2 linked regions of the Saccharomyces cerevisiae S288C genome follow. The protein of the gene in region 1 interacts with the protein of each later gene in a pairwise test. Each region holds a gene or a part of one and is shown in the gene's direction. Other genes may lie near its edges.

Region 1 (11,095 bases):
CTATAAACGTTTAAGGGCAATACGACCGAGTTTTCATTTATTCATTTATATGAATTGCTCTGTCGTGTTTCTCTCTCGGTTCCAGCAGTAAATTTAATGAATCCCCCAAACATTACGGAGCATTCATTACAGATCGGTGGCACCGTTGTATGGATGTATTGCCTTTTTGGAACAATACATCTACTTGCCGAACGTTATGTTTTAGATGGGTCCGCTTTTAATAGTTTAGGTAATTCTTATAGGATTGAAAATCTCGGTAACTAAAATCCGTTATGGCTTAAAAAAATGTAAAAAATAAAGGCCCTTTCTTCCATTCCCTGTGAAACAAAAGTTTCGATAGTGCGATAGTTTACCTTTTACGAGCTTTAACCTGGCGTTATTTTCTCCCACACTACTGTAAACATAAAACTCTCTTATGCTTTAACGAGTATGCTGAGGAATTGTTTGAGGAAATTGGGAAATCATCAAACGAAATGTTCGGTAAAAACGTTACACACCCCAATCTATAGAACAAAAAACCTTCAGGTTCTCAGAGATACGCTCTCTGGTATTAAGCTGTTGGAAAAAATAATAACTTCATCCTCCTACAATAAAACATTGATATATGAACCTAAGTATAAATCCAAGCCACAGGTCGTTAGTTCTCATGATACCATGAGACTTCACAATGTAATGCGTGAGTTACTAGATTCCCTACAAGTAGATGAAGCTACCAACACACGACTTCAATCAAACAGGCCTCGAAAGCTGGGGAGGGTTGGTCTACAATTATTCATGGATTGCATTCAGGACAACTTAACAGCAACTTCAACATCTTTGACATGCTCTTTACTGGAGCACTATTTCAAGTATCCCGAAAAAGAAGTGACCAATGGGATCAAGGCCGGATTACGATATATCAGAGATTTTCTTGCGAAGAACAAGATTATAGTGAAAAGTCAAAACGATGTTGATGCTCTGGTCGAGCAATTGACTATGTCCTCCTCAGACAGCCAAAGCATCAAAAGGGTTTTGAAAGCCATTAATTATGAATTGTTTTCGGATGACATTGTGCGGGTCATAAACGGCAACAAAACTTACGATGAGGTTGATGTATCCAAGGGTTGGAAATATCCAGCTGGTATTTTAGATAGTAATGAAGCCTATTTAAGGTCCCTGGAGTTGCCTACTAAGAAATTAGTTTCCATTGATAAAGATATGCTAGTTCTTATGTATGATGGGACGTTACGAGACGCTAATAAAATTCTACCCACGATAACGTATGCAAGAAAGTTGAGAAAATCTGTTCTCTTAATCGTTAACGGAGATTGCACAGGTGATGCATTAACATCCGTTACAATTAACAATAACAGAAACAAGAGAGAAAATAATGAAAGCCGAATAGTGGTTTTGAAGTACTCTAAAAAGGCGAACAATGACTTAGCGCCACAGGAGAATCTTGATTTTATAAAGTTCTTACGGTTGCCTTGCGGATATGACAGCATCTACTCACCAGAATATAGTCCTTTAGTGCCAAGCAAAATGTGTGCGGATAAATATTACGGCAGTATCGAATCCATAAAAGCGACCACAGGGGAGGCATTCTTATATAACTCCATTGATGCTGAAGCGATTCCAAATAAAGTTCCGAAATCCTTCCTCCAAAATACGGTCACTTTAAGCATTGGTGGACATAACGAAATCGAAATCGACAGAAGAAGAAATGCAATAGATAATTGCTTAAATAACGTCCTATGTCATGGGCTGGCCAAAGGTTTCATCCCAGGTTACGGCATCTCCCTACTGAAGGCAATTCCAGGTTTGAATGAACTGAAAGCAAATGAACCCAATTTCATGACTAAGGTAGGCATCAATGCTGTTTTATCAGCAGTTATTCTCCCATCAGAAGTGGCGTTTAAGAATGCATATGGGTACAACTATTATGAGATCAATAGCCTGATAGCAGGCGCTATAAACGAAAAATCGTTTCCAATGGCCAAGTTTTCTCCAAATTCAGAACCGGTGAACACAGTAAAGGATGGAAACTTGGAGCCATGGAGCAAAATGGATTCTTGTTTAGCCGGTGTAGAAACGTTCATTGAATTACTTACAAGCTGTAATACAATTATCACATGTGTATACAAAAAGCCTGAACGGCACAAAGCCTAGATAAAGCCCTTACATACTTTTAAATAGTCAGAATGAGTCATTGTAAATAGATATTGCCACGGCGCTGCCTTTTATCACTTTTACCTCTTCGTAAATATCTATTATTCCTGCTCAATTTCTCATATGCGGCTTCGGAAAAACTCGGGTTTTTCCACGCCTCAGCAGTAACTCCATCTACCTTTGGGGATTTGAACCATCTCATTCCAGTTTTGGATAACTGCGATTAGATTAAAATATTAAAAGATTATCGATTAGATAAGATAGAAACCAACAAAATTTGTTGTAATAGCTGTGTCCTTGTATCCTTAAAAGAAAACAGGGTTGAAGGCATATGTATTCACATCTTTCTAACTTGTTAACGTCTATGCTAGGACCGAAGTCAGAAAGCGATAAACATGCAAGCCCAAGGTTCACAATCGAATGTAGGGTCTTTGAGGAGTAATTGCTCTGACAATTCACTACCGAACAATCATGTTATGATGCACTGCGATGAAAGCAGCGGCAGCCCGCACAGCGAGCACAACGATTATAGTTACGAAAAGACCAATCTGGAAAGTACGGCATCAAATAGTCGTGAACACAGAGACAACCAGCTAAGTAGGTTGAAGAGTGAGGAATACGTTGTTCCAAAGAATCAACGTAGGGGACTATTGCCTCAACTCGCCATTATACCGGAGTTCAAGGATGCCAGAGATTATCCACCGATGATGAAAAAGATGATTGTCTTCTTGATTGCGTTTTCCTCCATGATGGGCCCCATGGGCACATCTATCATTTTTCCAGCGATCAACTCAATCACAACAGAATTTAAAACATCAGTGATTATGGTAAACGTTTCAATTGGTGTGTACCTTTTAAGTCTTGGTGTTTTCCCATTGTGGTGGTCTTCTCTATCCGAGCTAGAGGGCAGAAGAACTACTTACATAACTTCATTTGCATTATTGTTTGCATTTAATATCGGGTCTGCTCTAGCTCCTGATATCAACTCATTTATTGCCTTGAGAATGCTCTGTGGGGCTGCTTCTGCCAGTGTTCAAAGTGTAGGTGCTGGAACAGTGGCTGATTTATATATTAGCGAAGATAGAGGTAAAAATTTGAGTTATTACTATTTGGGTCCACTACTGGCGCCGCTACTATCTCCAATTTTTGGATCTTTGTTAGTGAATCGCTGGCCCTGGAGATCCACTCAATGGTTTATGGTTATTTTATCCGGATGTAATGTCATTCTTTTGACGGTGTTACTACCTGAAACATTAAGAAAACAAGATTCTAAAGGCGCTATCGCTCAAATTTTGGCTGAAAGACGTATTCAAGTAGACAATAACGAACGTGGAGAGATACAAGAAGATTATCAGAGGGGAGAAGATGAGACAGATCGAATTGAAAACCAAGTTGCCACATTATCTACTGAGAAGCATAACTACGTTGGAGAGGTAAGGGATCAAGACTCGCTAGATTTAGAAAGTCACTCTAGCCCCAATACTTATGATGGTCGAGCTGGAGAAACCCAATTGCAACGGATTTATACAGAGGCGAGTAGAAGTCTGTATGAATATCAGCTAGATGATAGCGGTATCGATGCAACAACAGCACAAGTTACGAGAATAAGATCAACAGATCCAAAGTTAGCGAGATCGATTCGAGAAAATAGTCTGAGAAAATTACAAACCAACCTGGAAGAGCAAGTCAAAAAAGTGCTATCCAGTAATGGAGGTGAAATCGCTCCTAAACAGGTATCAGCGGTGAGGAAGGTCTGGGACACCTTTTTTGTTTATTTTATCAAGCCTTTAAAATCATTGCACTTCCTAGAATATCCACCCGTGGCACTTGCAATAACATTTTCCGCAATTTCCTTTTCCACAGTATACTTTGTTAATATGACAGTTGAATATAAATATTCAAGGCCTCCTTACAACTTTAAACCATTATACATTGGTCTACTGTATATTCCGAATTCTGTAACATACTTTTTCGCCTCAATTTACGGTGGACGTTGGGTGGACATGCTTTTAAAAAGATACAAAGAGAAATATGGAATTCTTGCTCCTGAAGCTCGTATATCGTGGAATGTTGTTACATCTGTAATATCTTTCCCCATTGCGCTATTGATATTTGGCTGGTGCCTAGATAAAAAATGCCACTGGGTAACGCCACTAATTGGAACAGCCCTCTTTGGATATGCAGCTATGATGACAATTGGTGCTACCCTTTCCTATTTAGTCGATTCATTGCCGGGAAAGGGTGCCACCGGTGTTGCTTTGAATAATTTAATAAGGCAAATCTTGGCTGCAACCGCAGTCTTTGTCACCACACCCATGTTAAACGGTATGGGAACTGGGTGGGCTTTCACAATGCTGGCCTTTATCGTCTTGGGTGCTAGCAGTGTACTTATAATACTGAAAAAGCACGGTGATTACTGGAGAGAGAACTACGATTTACAAAAATTGTACGACAAAATTGATTAATCATATCGGTTAATAAGACGGAAGCGTAAATATTTTCATTGTAGACTTTTCATAGGGTGGCACATACATAGTTTACTTTAGTTTATGGTAAATCGTTATTGTGCTAAAAGTATTATTAAATAATGTTCAACAACATCTCAAGAGGCGAAAAACTCATCAGAAAAAGAAATATAAACGCGAAAGATCATTAATGAACACTAGCCAACAAAAAAAAAGGATATATCAGGTCCACTGGTATTGAGATTGCTAGCGAGGTCAATAAGCTGATGCTGCATCAAAAAATAGCTCATAAAGTTCGAAAAGTCGTCGTCCCAGGTATTTCCTTATTGATTTTCTTCCAGGGATGCCTTATTCTTTTGTTTCTCCAACTCACCTATAAGACTCTTTACTGTAGAAATGATATAAGGAAACAAATTGGTCTCAATAAAACCAAAAGATTATTTATTGTCTTGGTATCATCCATTTTGCATGTTGTCGCACCATCTGCAGTGAGAATTACCACTGAAAATTCCAGTGTTCCTAAAGGTACTTTTTTTTTAGACTTGAAGAAGAAAAGGATTCTTTCTCATCTAAAGTCCAATTCGGTGGCCATTTGCAATCACCAAATATACACGGATTGGATATTTTTATGGTGGTTGGCTTACACATCGAACTTAGGGGCTAATGTCTTCATTATTTTAAAAAAATCGTTGGCTTCCATTCCTATCCTCGGTTTCGGTATGAGAAACTATAATTTCATTTTTATGAGTAGAAAGTGGGCACAAGACAAAATAACCCTAAGCAACAGCCTTGCTGGCCTTGATTCGAATGCAAGGGGCGCCGGCTCACTTGCTGGAAAGTCACCTGAGCGCATAACTGAGGAAGGAGAGAGCATATGGAATCCGGAGGTTATTGATCCAAAACAAATCCATTGGCCATACAATCTTATCCTATTCCCTGAAGGTACAAATCTCAGTGCTGATACTAGGCAAAAAAGTGCTAAATATGCTGCCAAAATAGGCAAAAAGCCATTCAAGAATGTGCTACTGCCTCATTCTACAGGCCTAAGATACTCGTTACAAAAGTTGAAGCCAAGTATTGAAAGTCTTTATGATATTACGATCGGCTACTCCGGTGTAAAACAGGAGGAATATGGTGAGCTTATATATGGGCTGAAGAGCATATTTTTAGAAGGAAAATACCCGAAGTTAGTCGATATTCACATCAGAGCATTTGATGTTAAAGATATTCCATTAGAGGACGAGAATGAATTTTCAGAATGGCTGTATAAAATTTGGAGTGAGAAGGATGCTCTAATGGAAAGGTACTATTCCACTGGATCATTCGTAAGTGATCCTGAAACAAACCATTCAGTTACCGATAGTTTCAAGATCAATCGTATTGAGTTAACTGAAGTGCTAATATTACCAACTCTAACAATAATTTGGTTAGTTTATAAACTTTATTGTTTTATTTTTTGAATTTAAATAATCCTTTCCATATGTTATTAGGTACATATATAGATAGATATAAAACTTTTTTTGATTCTTTATCAATATTACGTTTACATACGTACTCTCGTGCAAGGAAAAATACTTTATCCTAATTCAGGAACATCAAATCATAATTTAATTGTTTGTGCATCGATGGCTTCCCAATCAGCAGCGGTCAAGACTTCATAGCGCTTGTAATTCTTGAGCCAAAAAATAGTGTCATTTCCATCCAAACCCTTTGGTAATTTTTGCTCTCTATAAACCTTCTTCAAAATTTTATGATTATCTGTCATTTTAATTTCATCAACAAATTTAACAAATAGGGGCATAGCATAAGACGGTAGATTTAACCGGCTCAAGGAATCATTTAATAATTTGGTCTTTGCAGTGATGTCAAGAGAGTTGTCAGTTAGTTTAATAACTGCAAAACCAGCTCTACCTTCATATTTAGGTACTTTAATACCAACAACTAGAACTTGTGCATATTGTTCTTTGTTACTGGCCGTCAACTGATCTTCTACTTCAGTAGTGGAAACATTTTCAGATTTCCATCTGAAAGTATCACCCATTCTATCAAGGAAATACCATAATCCATATTCGTCCGCTTTTAATAAATCTCCACATCTATACCAAGCATCGCCACGTCTGAAGACATCCCTCACAACTTTGGACTTTGTTTCCTTGGCATTACCAAGATAACCTTGAAAAGATGTTTCTGGTTTTTTAGGGAAAAAGATTCTCATTAACATTTCTCCTGGTTCGCCAACAGGGGCCACTTCGCAGAAACCCTTGGAATTTCTATATATAACGGAATCGTCATTTGGGTCCATCCTTACCAATGTTTGTTGGAATGACAAAAACCATTGAATTATAGTACCATAGTTCCTACATGCGCCAATTCCAAAGTCACCTTTCTGGAAGGTAGTTGTAGCAAAAGGAGCTTCAGTTGCGGCATAGAATTCACCAATAACTTCTATGTTGAACCTCTTCCTGAAGTCCTGCCAGATGTCAGGTCTCAGCCCGTTACCATAAGCAACCTTCACCTTATGCATCTTTTCATACTTAGAAATTGGCGTATGTAACAGGTATCTACAGACTTCTCCGACATATTGGATGTGCGTGGCTCCTGTTAAATAAACTTGCTTCCAAAATGTACTGGCAGAAAATTTATGCGATAACGCAAGGCAACCACCGTGAGATAGAATGGCGCACGCACCTAATAAGGCAGCAGTTGAATGGAACAATGGCATGGCTGTGAACACAGTGCTTTCATTAGTCATATGTAAAACATGACCAAAAACTTGACAACCTACGGAGGATTTTCTCCAAGACATAATAGCGGATTTAGGCAAACCAGTGGTTCCAGATGTATAAATTAACATAGAGGGTTTAAAATCGGTCAAGCCTAGTGGTGTCCTAACGTTGTCTTGTTGTAAGAATTCCGGTGATTGCGAATTTAAAAGTTCATGCATTAAGTCTTGTTCTTCAAGATAGTTTAATTTAACATCAGGAAGTGCGTTTTTGATTTCTTCTTCCGATTCTCTGATCGGATTACTGGCATCAGGGTCAATAAATACCTGCGTAATATTGGAAATCTTTAGGGAGTGAACCAGCGGAGTGCCTTTAGTATTATAGTTTAAAAAAGCTGGAATAGCCCCAATGTTCCACAAAGAAAGCCATAAAAATACGAAAAGAGGTTTATTAGTACAATCGATTGCCACGTAGTCACCGGCCTGAACGTTATAATCAAAATGCAAAATATGAGACAATCTCAACACTATGTTATAAGTTTCAATATACGTAAAGGTTTCGAGTTGAAATTCTCCCTTTTCGGCCATGGGACGGGTGTAACTAATCGCTAAATGGTCACCATTTTGTTGGACCTGTTTAATAAATAAGTACCAGTTTTGAAACCTATGTCTTCTCACATCAATGATATAACAAAACACGCTTTTCAAAAAGTAAGGAATAATATACCAATCCTCCTTGTATCTATATTTACGGTCTAATTCATCAAAATAATTACCAAATAGATAACCCAGTGATTTCTGGATAGGGGTTATAATTAGCTTGATAAGTCTGAATAATAGCAGGAAAATCCTTGACAAGGCAAAGACAACAACCTGTATGGGAGACATAGTCGGTATTCGCAGCCTATTAAAAGTTCAACGATATAGAATTTGAATGATTTGGGCTTTTCAATTTAGTTTACGACTTTAAGGTCCTTATTTTTTTTGCTATAACATTAGTATTTATAAAAAATTTCTGGAGCTTTGTTACATTGCGCGAAAAACCCGCGTTCTATCTTTTTAGTCGCTCATCAAGGTGACAGTAAATAAAACAGACGGTAATGATTAGAGTTTAGGTAAGCTCATATTTTCTCTGTTGTTACTTAATTATCGAACGTTAAATTTTTTAAGTAGTTCATCACATTATATAATGTTAATCGTGAATTATATAAATTTTTTCTCCTTTTACTTTTAAAAATTGACATTCTGAAATATCCGCTCAAAACTTATATGTTTATTTGAGGATAAAACTAAACTTTGGAATGCAATGTAGATGAATCCGAAGAGTAGTTATTGTACCTATTTTGGGCACATGGAACATTATCAATTTCATCTTTCAAGCTTTTCCTATCCCTTAAAAATATTAACCATAAAACCACACTGTCTAAAAGGAGGAATGCAAAGCTAAACCAAGCCATTACTGCTGCCTTCTTGCCCTTCTTGACAGTGATTATATTCATACTTGATGATGGAACCAATCTGTAACTTGCATTTATCCCTACATGAGTCCACATCGCACCAATACCCCATGTCAAAACTATAGTTGAACTTAGCAACAGTAGAAATTTATTAACCGCTAGTTTGAATGGTAACTTAGGGACAGTTACATACAGAATAAATAGAAACATTAGGATTGTTAGGATTACAGTTGCCATCAAGACATATGGATGTATAACATTAACCGAAGTTAATTGGGCTAACTTCAAAATGTTCAAGACAACGCTTGATTGGGTTTTGGAGCTGGAAGATGCAATATTTGAGAGTTGAATTTCCAAGTCTCTGTATAAGGGAACCGAGCTTAAATTCTTTCTTGCATAGCAAATTGAATTGGAGAATGTAGTCATATTATTGTAAGAGCTATATTGGGAGGGAATGTTATCAATACAAACACCCATGTAACCGGATCTTATAATGACTTCCTCCAAGCCCAGAGTTGTATTTGATTTTTCATATGATTTCTCTATGATCGTATAAAAAGGTGAGTTGTCATCAAATTTATACTTCACTAGAAATGTTGACTGATTTGACGGGTTGTAACAGCCGATGAGAAGAAAAATCAAAAGAAATATTGAAATTAAATTAAAAGCTAATGCAAATATTCTGGGCATACGCTTGGTAAAAAACCAAATCATTGAGATTGCGACCATTTTTTTTTTTTTTTTTTTGTTTGTTTGTTTGTTTGTTTACTATAATTTCTTCTACCAAAGACAAGCAAGAACCTGAGATAAAAAACATTTAACAGACATTTTACAAATATATACCAATGTCTTTGTTATTTCAACAGCACTATATATTGTTTTCATTTTCTTGGTTCGTTTCATTGCTACTTAGCCATATTTTTTTTAACTGACACATACATGAAACCATCATAATCTTAATGGGAAAAAATCCTAAAGCGAGAAGGACTTTCAAAAAAAAAAAGTTTTAAAAATGTTATAATTTTTGTATTTTACCTGAATATATAGTAGTGTTTAGTATTTATTATCTTTCCTTTTCTATTTAAGGTATTCTTTGGATATATACTTCGTCTCATCAAGTCAAAATTCGTTTCATGTTCTACAAAAACAACGTCAAATAAAGAGGCAATGCAGGGTGATTTTTTTATCATCCCAAAGAGGAAGCACCAGTAATAATATCAACCAGTTCATTAGTAATGACAGCTTGTCTTGTTCTGTTGTACAAGATAGAGTAACGATTGATCATATCACCGGCATTCTTGGAAGCGTTATCCATAGCGTTTCTTCTGGCGGAAATTTCAGCAGCATAACCTTGAGCCATTGCTGTCAACATTTGGTTAGCCAAAGTATATTCAAACAAATCTCTTGGAACGTTTGCGTCCGTGTCGATCTCAAATTTGCCGAATGATGGGGATTGTTCAATGGTCTTGGCGTTAAAGATCGGTTTTTCAGATGGTTCAAAAGATAGGGAAGACACTGGGTCATTGTAGAAAATGGAAATCTTTGGGTAAGTGCCGGCCTTCATGACACTCAATAACTTATCGGCAATCAAAGCAGATTCTTGGAAAGTTGGGGCATCTTTACCAATTCCATTAATAGACAATTTAATGTTGTTAGGATGGGTTCTCAATAGCTGCATTTTAATTTTATCACCAATAGTGACTATATCGGCGTTTGGTTGATCATTCAAATGTCTTCTCACAGCTTTAGCCAATTGAGAGTGGATAGAACCACACAACCCCTTATCAGAGGTGATAGCAACAATCAACTCTTTAGGAGCACCTGTTTCAGTAGCCTCAACATCCAAATTTTTGGTTTCGGCGTTCTTGTAAAACAACTGCTCTGCTTCATCCATCTTCTTTGCGGAAATTTTAGCCTTTTCAGCTTTACTCAATCTTGTAGATGCAACAATCTTCATAGTTTTTGTGATCTTCTCAATATTTTTGATAGATTTCAAACGCATTTCCACTTCTTTCAAAGTAGCATAAGTTCTCACTGGGTTAGTCTTATAAAGAATACCCACTTGCGCTTGGTGGCACATTACGGAGCGTGTTGCATTGTTTGATACAATTCTTGACAACATGACTACTAAATAAAATAATGTTTACTGCTCGTCTTCAATTGTTTCCACCTGAAATTAACCAAAACGGTTCAGTCTCAATAGTTTCTTATTTGTCTTTTTTAACTGAGTGATAATCATTTAAGCATCTCCCTTCCGGGCCTTCTTTAATCGTTATTGCGGTCCGGGTTCCTCGCGTAGTTAC
Region 2 (10,933 bases), on another chromosome or scaffold:
TCAAACAAAGCTGATCAAGCCGCTGTATTTATATGAAACTTTGAACAACTACATCTGCACACATGGGCTCTTACTGGTCGCCCATCTCACACTCATGCCTTCCACATTCCACTTAGCGACTAAGTCATTATTACTATGGGGACGGGTTGTTCTTGAACGATGCTATACTTCGTATAGGAAGCCGTTTTTTTATGCCCCATCCTTTCATATGTTCCATAGCACAAGAATGTTCTCTACAGGAAAAGTGCCTATAGGGCTGCAGCTGCAGTTTTGGCCAAGAAATAGAACCAAAGCCAAATTTATTTTGGGCCCTCGTTCAAGGGCCATCTCACCCTTGGCACTAAACGGTTAGTAGGAGGGAAATCGGACTTTTCCCAAATTAGAAACAATGAAAAATTAAGTGTGAGCTCTTAGAGTCGCATCTGCAGGAATATGCACACAAAAAGGGGAGCTGTACGTAAATAATCAGACCACACAAACTATTGCCAACCATTTGATACTCACGCTAGATATGATGGGGGTTCTTGTTTGGACAACACAAGTCTCAGAGCCAGCGTAGATATGCTTGTACATAAATGACGACTGGGGCATCAATTGAATCGGGTTACATTGTGCGAGCTATTACATGAAGAGAATATGCCTTTAGGGTAATTTCCAAATGTAGGAAGTCTCGCTAAGTAGGGCGCCCAAATCTGTATAGCGATGTTGTTGAGGCCATATAGTAAAATGACGTGCCAATTACCGAGCTTTTGATGGAGGTAAAATCTAAGATTAATCTTGCGCCTTGAAACCACTAGAAATGAAAGGAATTGGTGAAAAAATAATCGCGCAATAGATGACATGGAACGACAGAAGTCTTGTATTGTGCACGAATCCGCAATATTCAAAGCCGAAGTTCATATACGAATGCGAACTATTTCTTAGGGTAGCTCTCTGTATGGGCCGCCATAAATTAGTACCAAAAGATAGGTTTTTGAAAAGGCTACAATGTGCTTTTTTCCTTCTTGCTTTCGAGTCCGGTGAACAGAATATTACGACGTCCTTGTATTAAGAGCCAGACCTCCTGTTAGCGTCACTATAAGAGTAAGTCTGAAATACGCAACAACTACAGTGCAATGAAAAAGTGCTCAACTCAATGACAATAAACAATTTAACCATGGCAGGTTAAAATATTACTGCGATCAGTAAAAATGGGGATATCACCTTTTGACACATAACATAGCAATAAAGTAACAGATCATTAGTGATCGGACAACCTGAACCAACGATATAATGTCGAAGCCACCACTACCTTTAAGATTAGTAGCGCTGCAGGGGGAGACAATGAGAGAAATTTCCCGCCACATGAACTGAGTCAGGAGTTTTTTTTTTCTTGCTGGAGAATCATTTAATTTCATGGTTAAACTCCTCTATAAGCATCCCATTCTCCCATGCCTGAAAACACTTTTGTCCATTCGATCCTCATGCAGCCCTCGTTAATATGCTAAAATGGCTCATTAAATTGTAGATTGTATCGTTCGAGAAACGTCAGGCATGATAGATGTTGCAATCACAGGACATTGATTATTTAATCCTGCTCTCAACATGTTCAATAAGTTGAAGAGTTGCTGATCTCCCCGTATATCTTATGAACCAAAGCATGGTGGGTGAATGTTATGGTTATCCTTGTTGAAAAATGATTGATAGACTGGATTGAGCGGAAAAACATGGGTCAATATGCTGATCTTGACATTTTTCAAAATCCACGGGGGATCAAATCAACTTCTTATAGCGTATGACCTCTTTTACATTGTTTAATGATGTTAAGATTGCGATATTATAGTCAGTTAAGTTACTCAAACGCACAGATTTAATAGAAAACTGCGTCTTCGTTGCCTAGTCGATCATAATAAATTCGCAGATTATTTCGAATTTGATCTCCTTCGAAATCAAGTTTATTCTCTTCACAACAAAAAATGCTTTTAACTTGAACAAAACTCGTAAACTATTTCCCCACTGTTGCTTCGGGACGACCCAGTTATTCAATATCTTGCAATGCTAATTTTTTTTGGGAGAGCAGTTGCAAATATTGCAAACACATCTAAAGCGTACCCACAATTTATGACTTCCTGGAGCCCAGAACAGCCCAAAAAAAAAAAGATGCGTTCTTTTTATACCAATATATTAGATACGTAAACTCTACTCATATTGCAGGTATGCCCACATCTGGATATTGACTTTGCCAATATTCCCGCACAGCATGGGCTTGAATTTCGGCTGCTTTAAAGAGGCACCACTTTACGGTTGGTTCAACATCAGAATTTTGAGTTGCAGCCTGATTTTCTGGAACACTGATGAACGGCTGTGTATTCGCTGTATCCCACTGTACATCAGGATATTTTCCCTTTATGAGATCCTTGAAAAATTCATAGCACTGGTGTTCACAAAAAAAGTGGTATGGTGTTTTCCATAAGCCAGCCTTGAACAAATATTGATTCATGTTATACGTTATGGTTTTCCATTCTTTCCCAGCTATCGATGGTCTATGAGTTATTACCTCTAGTAGAAGTTTTGTACGGAATGTTTCATTACTTATTGGTCTACTGAATGACCATATCTGAAGGACTACCATAGAGCCACCTAAACATATCCGGATCACCATGGCAGGGGAGAGAACACCAGAAAACCAAATGTTTGTTAAAGTCGCCAAAATCGTCAAGACAAAAAGGAGGAAATTGATCATTATATACTTGGCGCGTACAATTTCGTAAAGCAAATAACTCTGGTATGATGCAAACTCATCCTCTGGAAGGACGATATCAGCTGAGATTAAAGGACTTTCAGGGTTGTCAGGAGATCCTTCCCTCAATGGGATTGCTTTAGGATCGTCCGTGACATGAGTGTTTTTTTTAAATAAGATTGCATGTTTAACAAACGATTTAACTTGCTTTTGCTTACAAGTCAAGTAAACCTTATCCTGATAGCTTAGGAAAAATAGACTTGAATGTGTCGAACATTTCAAACCTCAATTGGTATTTTCCTTTTTTTCAACTGTACGTACATAGCTTTTCGCTTTCTTTAGCGCCCCCAGATGAAAGTATATATCGTAACAAGGATGGGAACATGAAAGGTACTGAAAAAACATCTGTATTTATTAAAAGTAAATCAAAAGCAGACTGGGAAGTTCTGTCGTAGGGATTTTTTTTTTAATGTTATGTGTGTAGGATTATTCTATTTCCTTGAATTTCTCGATCGAGATTTTTCGTACCTGTGTATTTTTGGATATAAGAGTGTTTCTGATCTATTGAGTGAGCAGGTCTCCAGCGGAATATAGAGTAGATTGAATATGGAAGAGGACTACATTAAGGCTTATTGTTAGTTAGTTACTGTTAGGACGCTTCGGCGAGCTGATGTCTGACTTCTCGTTGTATCAAAGAGCTCCCAATACGCCAGCGCATTTAAACTATGATCACGGAATGCTGGATTAGTAGTATAGCAAAAGTAACACTTGTCCACCGCAGACTCCATCACTTAGTCAACACCTTGGGTGTTTTACCGCTGATAATGGCCGTAAAATCGCCAGATATATATCATCATTGTTCTTCGCGAATAATACGTAACACAGTCTCTTTTCGAAATTTAGATGAGGACCATAGGCATGACTTATTTACTGAGATGTCCCTGCGTTAAAACTTTTACTGGCCGATTGCTAACTTTATATTTGTTAATAAAACTATTCACGCCTGTGTCCTAATTGTTGGATAATACCTAAACAATAACGATGTTGTATAGCTAAGAGGACGACCAGACAAAAAGTTATAAACTTTACCCTCGTTGAAAATGGGGCAGCCACCTATGAATCACTTCCCATTACAATGCCGAATAGCAAAATATGTAGTAGAACACGTACACGCATGATAATTACTTCCATGCTGTACTTATTTTTTGGGTGTCTCTTCAGAAAGAATGCTTTATATAACCATGTGTTTGAATTAGCGATCAGCTAATAACAAGTCAGTGTCCAAATAGTTAAAACATTGTGACCCAAATATCACAAATAAGTGGTTGTTTGGCCGAGCGGTCTAAGGCGCCTGATTCAAGAAATATCTTGACCGCAGTGAACTGTGGGAATACTCAGGTATCGTAAGATGCAAGAGTTCGAATCTCTTAGCAACCATTATTTTTTCTTTTTCCTCCTATACTTCATAATCTACGTAGGAATGAAAGTACCAACATTATACCAATGAGGGTGTGTTTCGTGGATGCATATACTCTGAAGATAAAAACAAACTCAAGTCCGCTTCCTACGGTTTGAGTATTTCTTACCACTACATAATAAAGAATATTACGTTAACTGTAAAATCAAGTAGACTTGGAAAATACAACGAGAACACTTTCCTGATTCTGCATCAGCGTTTTCTTATCACCAGCTGTACTTCTACATTAGCTAACTCTCCTTTCTATAAAGGGCGTCTTTCACTTCACTTGTGCCATGTTACAAAGCTCCAAACGCACTTCTAACTGAGTACAATGCACGATCCCACTGACAGACAAAACAGCTTCACAGAATTTGATCATGCCATCGTAAAAACCACGTAGTAAGGAATAAAAAATCCCGAAGTCGATCATACTATGTAGAGATGTACATGAATAGTCTAGGAATCTGGTCTTCCAGCATGTTGCTTTGGTCTGCTTCAAGCGCTATGGAAGCGCTCGCCATGAGATATGCTGTTTCAAGGCAAAATAGCAAAGCTCTTTGTAAAGAAATACAATTCAGAGAAGAAGCTACAGCATTTTGTTTCTGGATGATCCCTGCAGGTTCATACTACTAAGTAAATCTTGAACAGTTCAAATTTCAACAATTCAGAAACCGCTCTTTTTATATATACTCTACCAAACGAGATGAAACAGCATTTTTTTACTCTTATAAGGTACCAATATTTTGACGTATGCTTTCTTTAACGTTCACGATCGGGCTGGGCCATTAAACTTACCTTAGATATTATTTGGAACAGCACCGCAAGTGCTGATGTCCCAGAAATGGGCGCCGGTTCAATTAGGTCGTGAAGTCAGACATATGGAGACTCTCGGACTGAAAGCACTAAGGGATGATAGCTGGCATGCCAATTCCATTTTAAATTTACACATCAAGTTACAGGGTTTGGGAAAATCACGTTCAAAGCCTGAAAATTTGAGGTTGTTCACGGAAATCATTTGGTTATGTCTGTCGGCCTGCTATTTAGAGACATTTTTTATTGCAACAACCTACTCTATGCACTTACACGGAATCGCAGAATAACGCGCGCACAACACAATTGGGAAACGATAGGATTTTGAATAGTGTATTGCTTTGTACCGATTTAAATAATTCTTTCTCGTGTTGAATCCGAGTTGAAGATGAGTATGCTTTGAAGAGGTGAAATATCATCAGTAAAAAAAAATAACGACAACTGCAGGACTCGAACCTGCGCGGGCAAAGCCCAAAAGATTTCTAATCTTTCGCCTTAACCACTCGGCCAAGTTGCCAAAATTGTATGTTATTTGTTGTATCTCAAAATGAGATATGTCAGTATGACAATACGTCACCCTGAACGTTCATAAAACACATATGAAACAACCTTATAACAAAACGAACAACATGAGACAAAACCCGACCTTCCCTAGCTGAACTACCCAAAGTATAAATGCCTGAACAATTAGTTTAGATCCGAGATTCCGCGCTTCCACCACTTAGTATGATTCATATTTTATATAATATATAAGATAAGTAACATTCCGTGAATTAATCTGATAAACTGTTTTGACAACTGGTTACTTCCCTAAGACTGTTTATATTAGGATTGTCAAGACACTCCGGTATTACTCGAGCCCGTAATACAACATTATTTTCAGTGATAAAATATGTAAACCAATTATAAGAAAAAGGATTGCGTTGCATCACAACTGTAAACCATTAATTAAAAAGAGCAATTGCTATTTAGATTTGTTGCTGAGAATTGGCTAAAAAATCTGATAATTGTAGGACTTCTATTATTGCTAGGGGCAATGTGTTGGAATGCAATTCTGTTGGAATAAAAATCCACTATCGTCTATCAACTAATAGTTATATTATCAATATATTATCATATACGGTGTAGAGATGATGGCATAAGGTATGAAAAGCTGTCATCGAAGTTAGAGGAAGCTGAAGTGTAAGGATTGATAATGCAATAGGATAATGAAACATATAAAACGGAATGAGGAATAATCGTAAGATTGGTATATAGAAATATAGACTCCATTATGGGGATTCCTAGACCCTCGAGGAGAACCTTCAAGTATATTCTGTATACCTAATATTATAGCCTTTATCAACAATGGAATCCCAACAATTATCTCAAAATTCCCCCAATTCTCAACATCCGACTGCCATGCAATGTGCTTTTCTGGATCTCACTCATGATCATAATGGCCCTGTAAAAGGCTCGCACTATTATTATTATATCTTCACTATATATTATTTCGGAGGCTGTACCTATCAGTGAAAAAACGCCTCTAAAAATGAAAAAAAAAAAGAATATGAAAGGGGTTCTGAATTGCTAAAATATTTCGTCAAAGCTCAATTAGTATCATGATCAAGTCGTAATTCGAATCAGCATAACAACCTCCAAAACCATATAATAACCTTACACAAGACAAGATATCAATTCAACATGCAAACCCCTTCAGAAAATACCGACGTCAAGTTGGATACTCTCGACGAACCCAGTGCACATTTAATCGAGGAAAATGTGGCTCTTCCAGAGGATACATTCAATTCGTACTGGAGTTATATACTTAATGAAATCGCTCGTTGTAAACCGCTAATGATTATGTTCCTAATACCTGTGTGTTTGGTTTTATTGATTACGTTTTTTCATGATATCAAAGGTATCCTTGTGTTTTTAGTGATTTCTCTTATCCTCTCTATTATCATTTTATTGATCGGTATAACTGCCTTCGTGTCTGAGACCTTGAATAAGGGTTTCATAATTAAGCTTTTAGTAGAAGTCATTACACGTAAACCAGCAGTAGGGGGGAAGGAATGGAGAATAATCGCATATAATATGAACCAGTATCTGTTTGACCATGGGATATGGCATACTCCGTATTACTTTTTTTGTGAACATAGGTGCCATAAATTTTTCAAAAGCCTTATCAAACAGACAAGGTCGAATGCACATTTGAGTTCACCAACGAACGGTGCAGAGAATACGCAGTCAAACACACCAGCAAAAGAGGTTTCAAATGAGATGGTAAAACCTTATATCTTTAGTTCTGATCCAGTTTTAGAAGCTTACCTTATTAAAGCTGCGGAAATTCACAAAGAAGCTGAATTTGAGTATTGGAGAAAGCAATACCCAGAGGTTGATTTGCCTTAGGGCCGAATTTTTGGTATTTATCTAGTATATTCTAATATAAAATGTACGAGCATCATTAACTTCAAGAACATTACGAAGCCCGCAATTAAGTGTCAGTCCATCTGGGTGTAAAAGTTATGTACGCTCGAAACAAATTTTATGTAGTTTACTTTAGATGCAAATGCTATTATATATTTTGCTTTATGATCCTCGGCTTGATGCTCGCCAACGTGAGATAGCTGGTCATCACAATAGATCAGCCGGGACGCTTTTCGATCACATCGAATCCCTTCGGGACGTTGCAACAATACGTGAAAAATGCCTCAAAAATAATAAATACAATGGTGAACAACGTTAAAAAAGCATAAAACAGCTGGCTATTTTGATCAGGATAACATCTATAAGTGCCATATTAAGGCAAGATATCAATTGACCATGCAAACACCTTCAGAAAATACCGACGTAAAGATGGATACTCTCGACGAACCCAGTGCACATTTAATCGAAGAGAATGTAGCTCTTCCCGAAGACACATTCAGTTCACATCTGAGTTATGTACTTTATGAAATTGCTCATTGTAAACCGATCATGTTTATGATCATCATAATCGTGAGTTTGATCTCATTGATTGTGCTTTTTCATGATAACGACGGGTGCACTGTGATCTTAGTGATGTCCCTTATAGTAGCCTCCATGGCTTTAATGGTGGTTGCAGCATTCACATTCGGGAAAGCGATCACTGAACAGGAGTTCATGATAAAGCTTTTAGTGGAGGTGATCGCACGCAAGCCTGCGGGGAAGGAATGGGGTACTGTCGCATATAATATGAACCAATATCTATTCATGAAGAGACTATGGTATACCCCGTACTATTTCTATAGCGGCAAGAAGTGCCATGAGTTCTTCACCACTCTTATCAAGGAAGTGAATTCTGGTTCGCACTCGGATTCCTCATCGAATAGTGCCGAGGATACACAATCACCTGTCTCAGCAGGGAAGACTTCAAATGGTCTAAACAACTTTTATAGTATTAGATCAGACCCTATTTTGATGGCATATGTTTTGAAGGCAACACAAATAGAAAAGGAGGCTCAAAGTGAATACTGGAGAAAGCAATATCCTGACGCTGATTTACCTTGAAGCGGAAGCATTTTATTCACCAAGTATACTTACTTTTCTTTAAAACGAGAACAAGAATCGAATTCAAGAACATCTCGAAGCCAGAATTGAGCATCATATATTCGAGCTGTACAAACATCATGGCCTACAACTATCGTATTTGTAAGTTTTTTTAGAGGTTTTCATATTTGTTTAATAAGGGTTCTGTCAGTTTTTGTCACATTCTATTGTTGCGCTTCGCATAATGCAGCCAAGAAAATCCAAACAATAGAAAAAGAAAAAAAGGATCTCAAAAAGGGTTTGGTGTTGTAGTTATAAGAATAACTAGTGAATAAAAAAGCTGTTGTTTGGTCCGTATTACATTCGTCAAAAATTTAGTACTCAAATCGTGTATGCAATCGCAACCACAAAATAAAAATATTAGACTGGATGTGTTGAGTGGAGATGGTGCCAATTTAGTTGAGGGAAATGTGGTCCTTCCCAAAGACATGTTCAATTCGTACTTAAGTTATTCACTTTACGTGTTACGAGGGGGCTCATTGTAAGCCGATAATGATTATGTTCCTGGCATCTGTAATTTTGATTTCACTGACTAATTTCCGAGTATACCATCTCATGTCCCTTCTATCCTCTTTTTTCATCTCCGGGACAGACCGACAATAAAGCATCTAATATTAGGCTTTCGTTAGAGGTAAGCACACGCCAGCGTTCGGTGAAAGGGGAATGAAACATTATCACGTACAAGATGAATAAATATCTATTTGACCATAAAATATGGAGTACTCCTTACTACTTTTATTGCGAAGAAGATTGCCACCGTCTTTTTCTAAGTTTTATTGAGGGAAGAACTTTCGAGAAGCCAACAAGCAACGCTGAGGAAAATGTACAGGAGACTGAAGCTGGCGAATCTTTCACATTAAATCCCGGAGAAGATTTTCAAAATTGCTTTCCAAGACAGCGGATATTGTAGAACAATCTCAAGTGAAGTATTGGCAAGATATTGGTGCAATTATTTGAAAGGAAGGAGAAATATTCTGACAGTACCTTGCTAGCAAAGGGATTTACCAATCCACTGACGCTAAAATGGGGTAGTAAATTAGATAAATTGCATTCTAACGTGACTTTATATAGTGGGAAACAGATATGTAGCACACAAAACGGCATGATTATGCTTAATTGATTCCTATTTTTTAACGTAAATACTCTCCCAGAACGATCAGAAAACTTAACCCGCAACCATCTTTGCTGTGCTAACAACTTATGTCGCCTCAATACCATTTTTATTTTGTATCATTCCGGAACTTAGTATTGAATGAAAAATGCCTCCGAAGTAAAAAGCAGGTGATGAAAAGTTTCAATTGGTATAAGACAGATCGCTATTTTGATCCGCATAACATCCTTCAACACCATAGCAGAGCTATAGAGAAGACAAGATATAAACTGGGCATGCAAACATCTTCAGAAAGTACCGACGCCAAGTCGGATTTTCTCGACGAACCCAGTGCATATTTAATTGAGAAAAATGTGGCTCTTCCCAAGGACATATTCGGTTCGTACTTAAGTTATTGGATATATGAAGTTACTCGTCATAAAGCGGCAGTAATTTTGCTCGTACTTATTGTGACTTCAATTTTATTATTAGTGTTTTTTTATAATACGGAATTTTGCGTTGCCTTTGAGATACTATTGTTTTCCTTTTGCTTTCCAGGAACATGCATGGTTGTAATTGCATTTAGTGAACCGATCGGTGATCGGGAATTTAAAGTTAAGCTTCTGATGGAAATTATCACACGTAAACCGGCGGTAAAGGGGAAAGAATGGAGGACAATTACATACAAGATGAACCAGTATTTATTTGATCATGGGCTATGGGATACTCCCTACTACTTTTACCGTGATGAAGATTGCCACCGTTATTTTCTAAGTCTTATTAAGGGAAGAACTTTCAAGAAGCAAAAGGAATCGTCAGCCAGCAATGTTAAAGACGCACAATCAAATGACGAAACCGCTGGCACACCAAACGAAGCCGCTGAGTCTTCTAGTTTTAGTGCCGGACCGAACTTTATAAAGCTCCTCACCAAGGCAGCCGAAATCGAACAACAATTTCAAAAGGAATATTGGCGACAAGAGTATCCTGGTGTCGATGAGTTTTTTTAGACAGAAGACGGGAGACACTAGCACACAACTTTACCAGGCAAGGTATTTGACGCTAGCATGTGTCCAATTCAGTGTCATTTATGATTTTTTGTAGTAGGATATAAATATATACAGCGCTCCAAATAGTGCGGTTGCCCCAAAAACACCACGGAACCTCATCTGTTCTCGTACTTTGTTGTGACAAAGTAGCTCACTGCCTTATTATCACATTTTCATTATGCAACGCTTCGGAAAATACGATGTTGAAAATGCCTCTAGAGATGAAAAACAATCGTAAAAGGGTCCTGCGTAATTGAAAC

The links.
Region 2: the proteins of CST26 (region 1) and UIP3 interact in a two-hybrid assay, tested with the Saccharomyces cerevisiae proteins (one large-scale study listed by BioGRID).

What each region holds. Positions count from the first base shown.
Region 1 is NC_001134.8:315,394-326,488, reverse strand, and holds CST26 (putative acyltransferase), read left to right. Parts: upstream 1-4,879; coding exon 4,880-6,073; downstream 6,074-11,095. Other genes in the region: TCM62 (Tcm62p), read left to right, coding at 430-2,148; QDR3 (Qdr3p), read left to right, coding at 2,544-4,613; long-chain fatty acid transporter FAT1, read right to left, coding at 6,214-8,223; FIG1 (Fig1p), read right to left, coding at 8,625-9,521; ATP3 (F1F0 ATP synthase subunit gamma), read right to left, coding at 9,979-10,914. UniProt on the Saccharomyces cerevisiae protein: Acyltransferase with lysophosphatidic acid acyltransferase (LPAAT) activity. Fatty acyl substrates include 18:0-acyl-CoA, 16:0-acyl-CoA, 17:0-acyl-CoA and 14:0-acyl-CoA.
Region 2 is NC_001133.9:177,099-188,031, forward strand, and holds UIP3 (DUP240 family protein UIP3), read left to right. Parts: upstream 1-6,671; coding exon 6,672-7,379; downstream 7,380-10,933. Other genes in the region: DFP1 (DUP240 family protein), read right to left, coding at 2,183-2,722; KTD1 (DUP240 family protein), read left to right, coding at 7,794-8,498; DFP2 (DUP240 family protein), read left to right, coding at 9,223-9,447; pheromone-regulated DUP240 family protein PRM9, read left to right, coding at 9,738-10,634.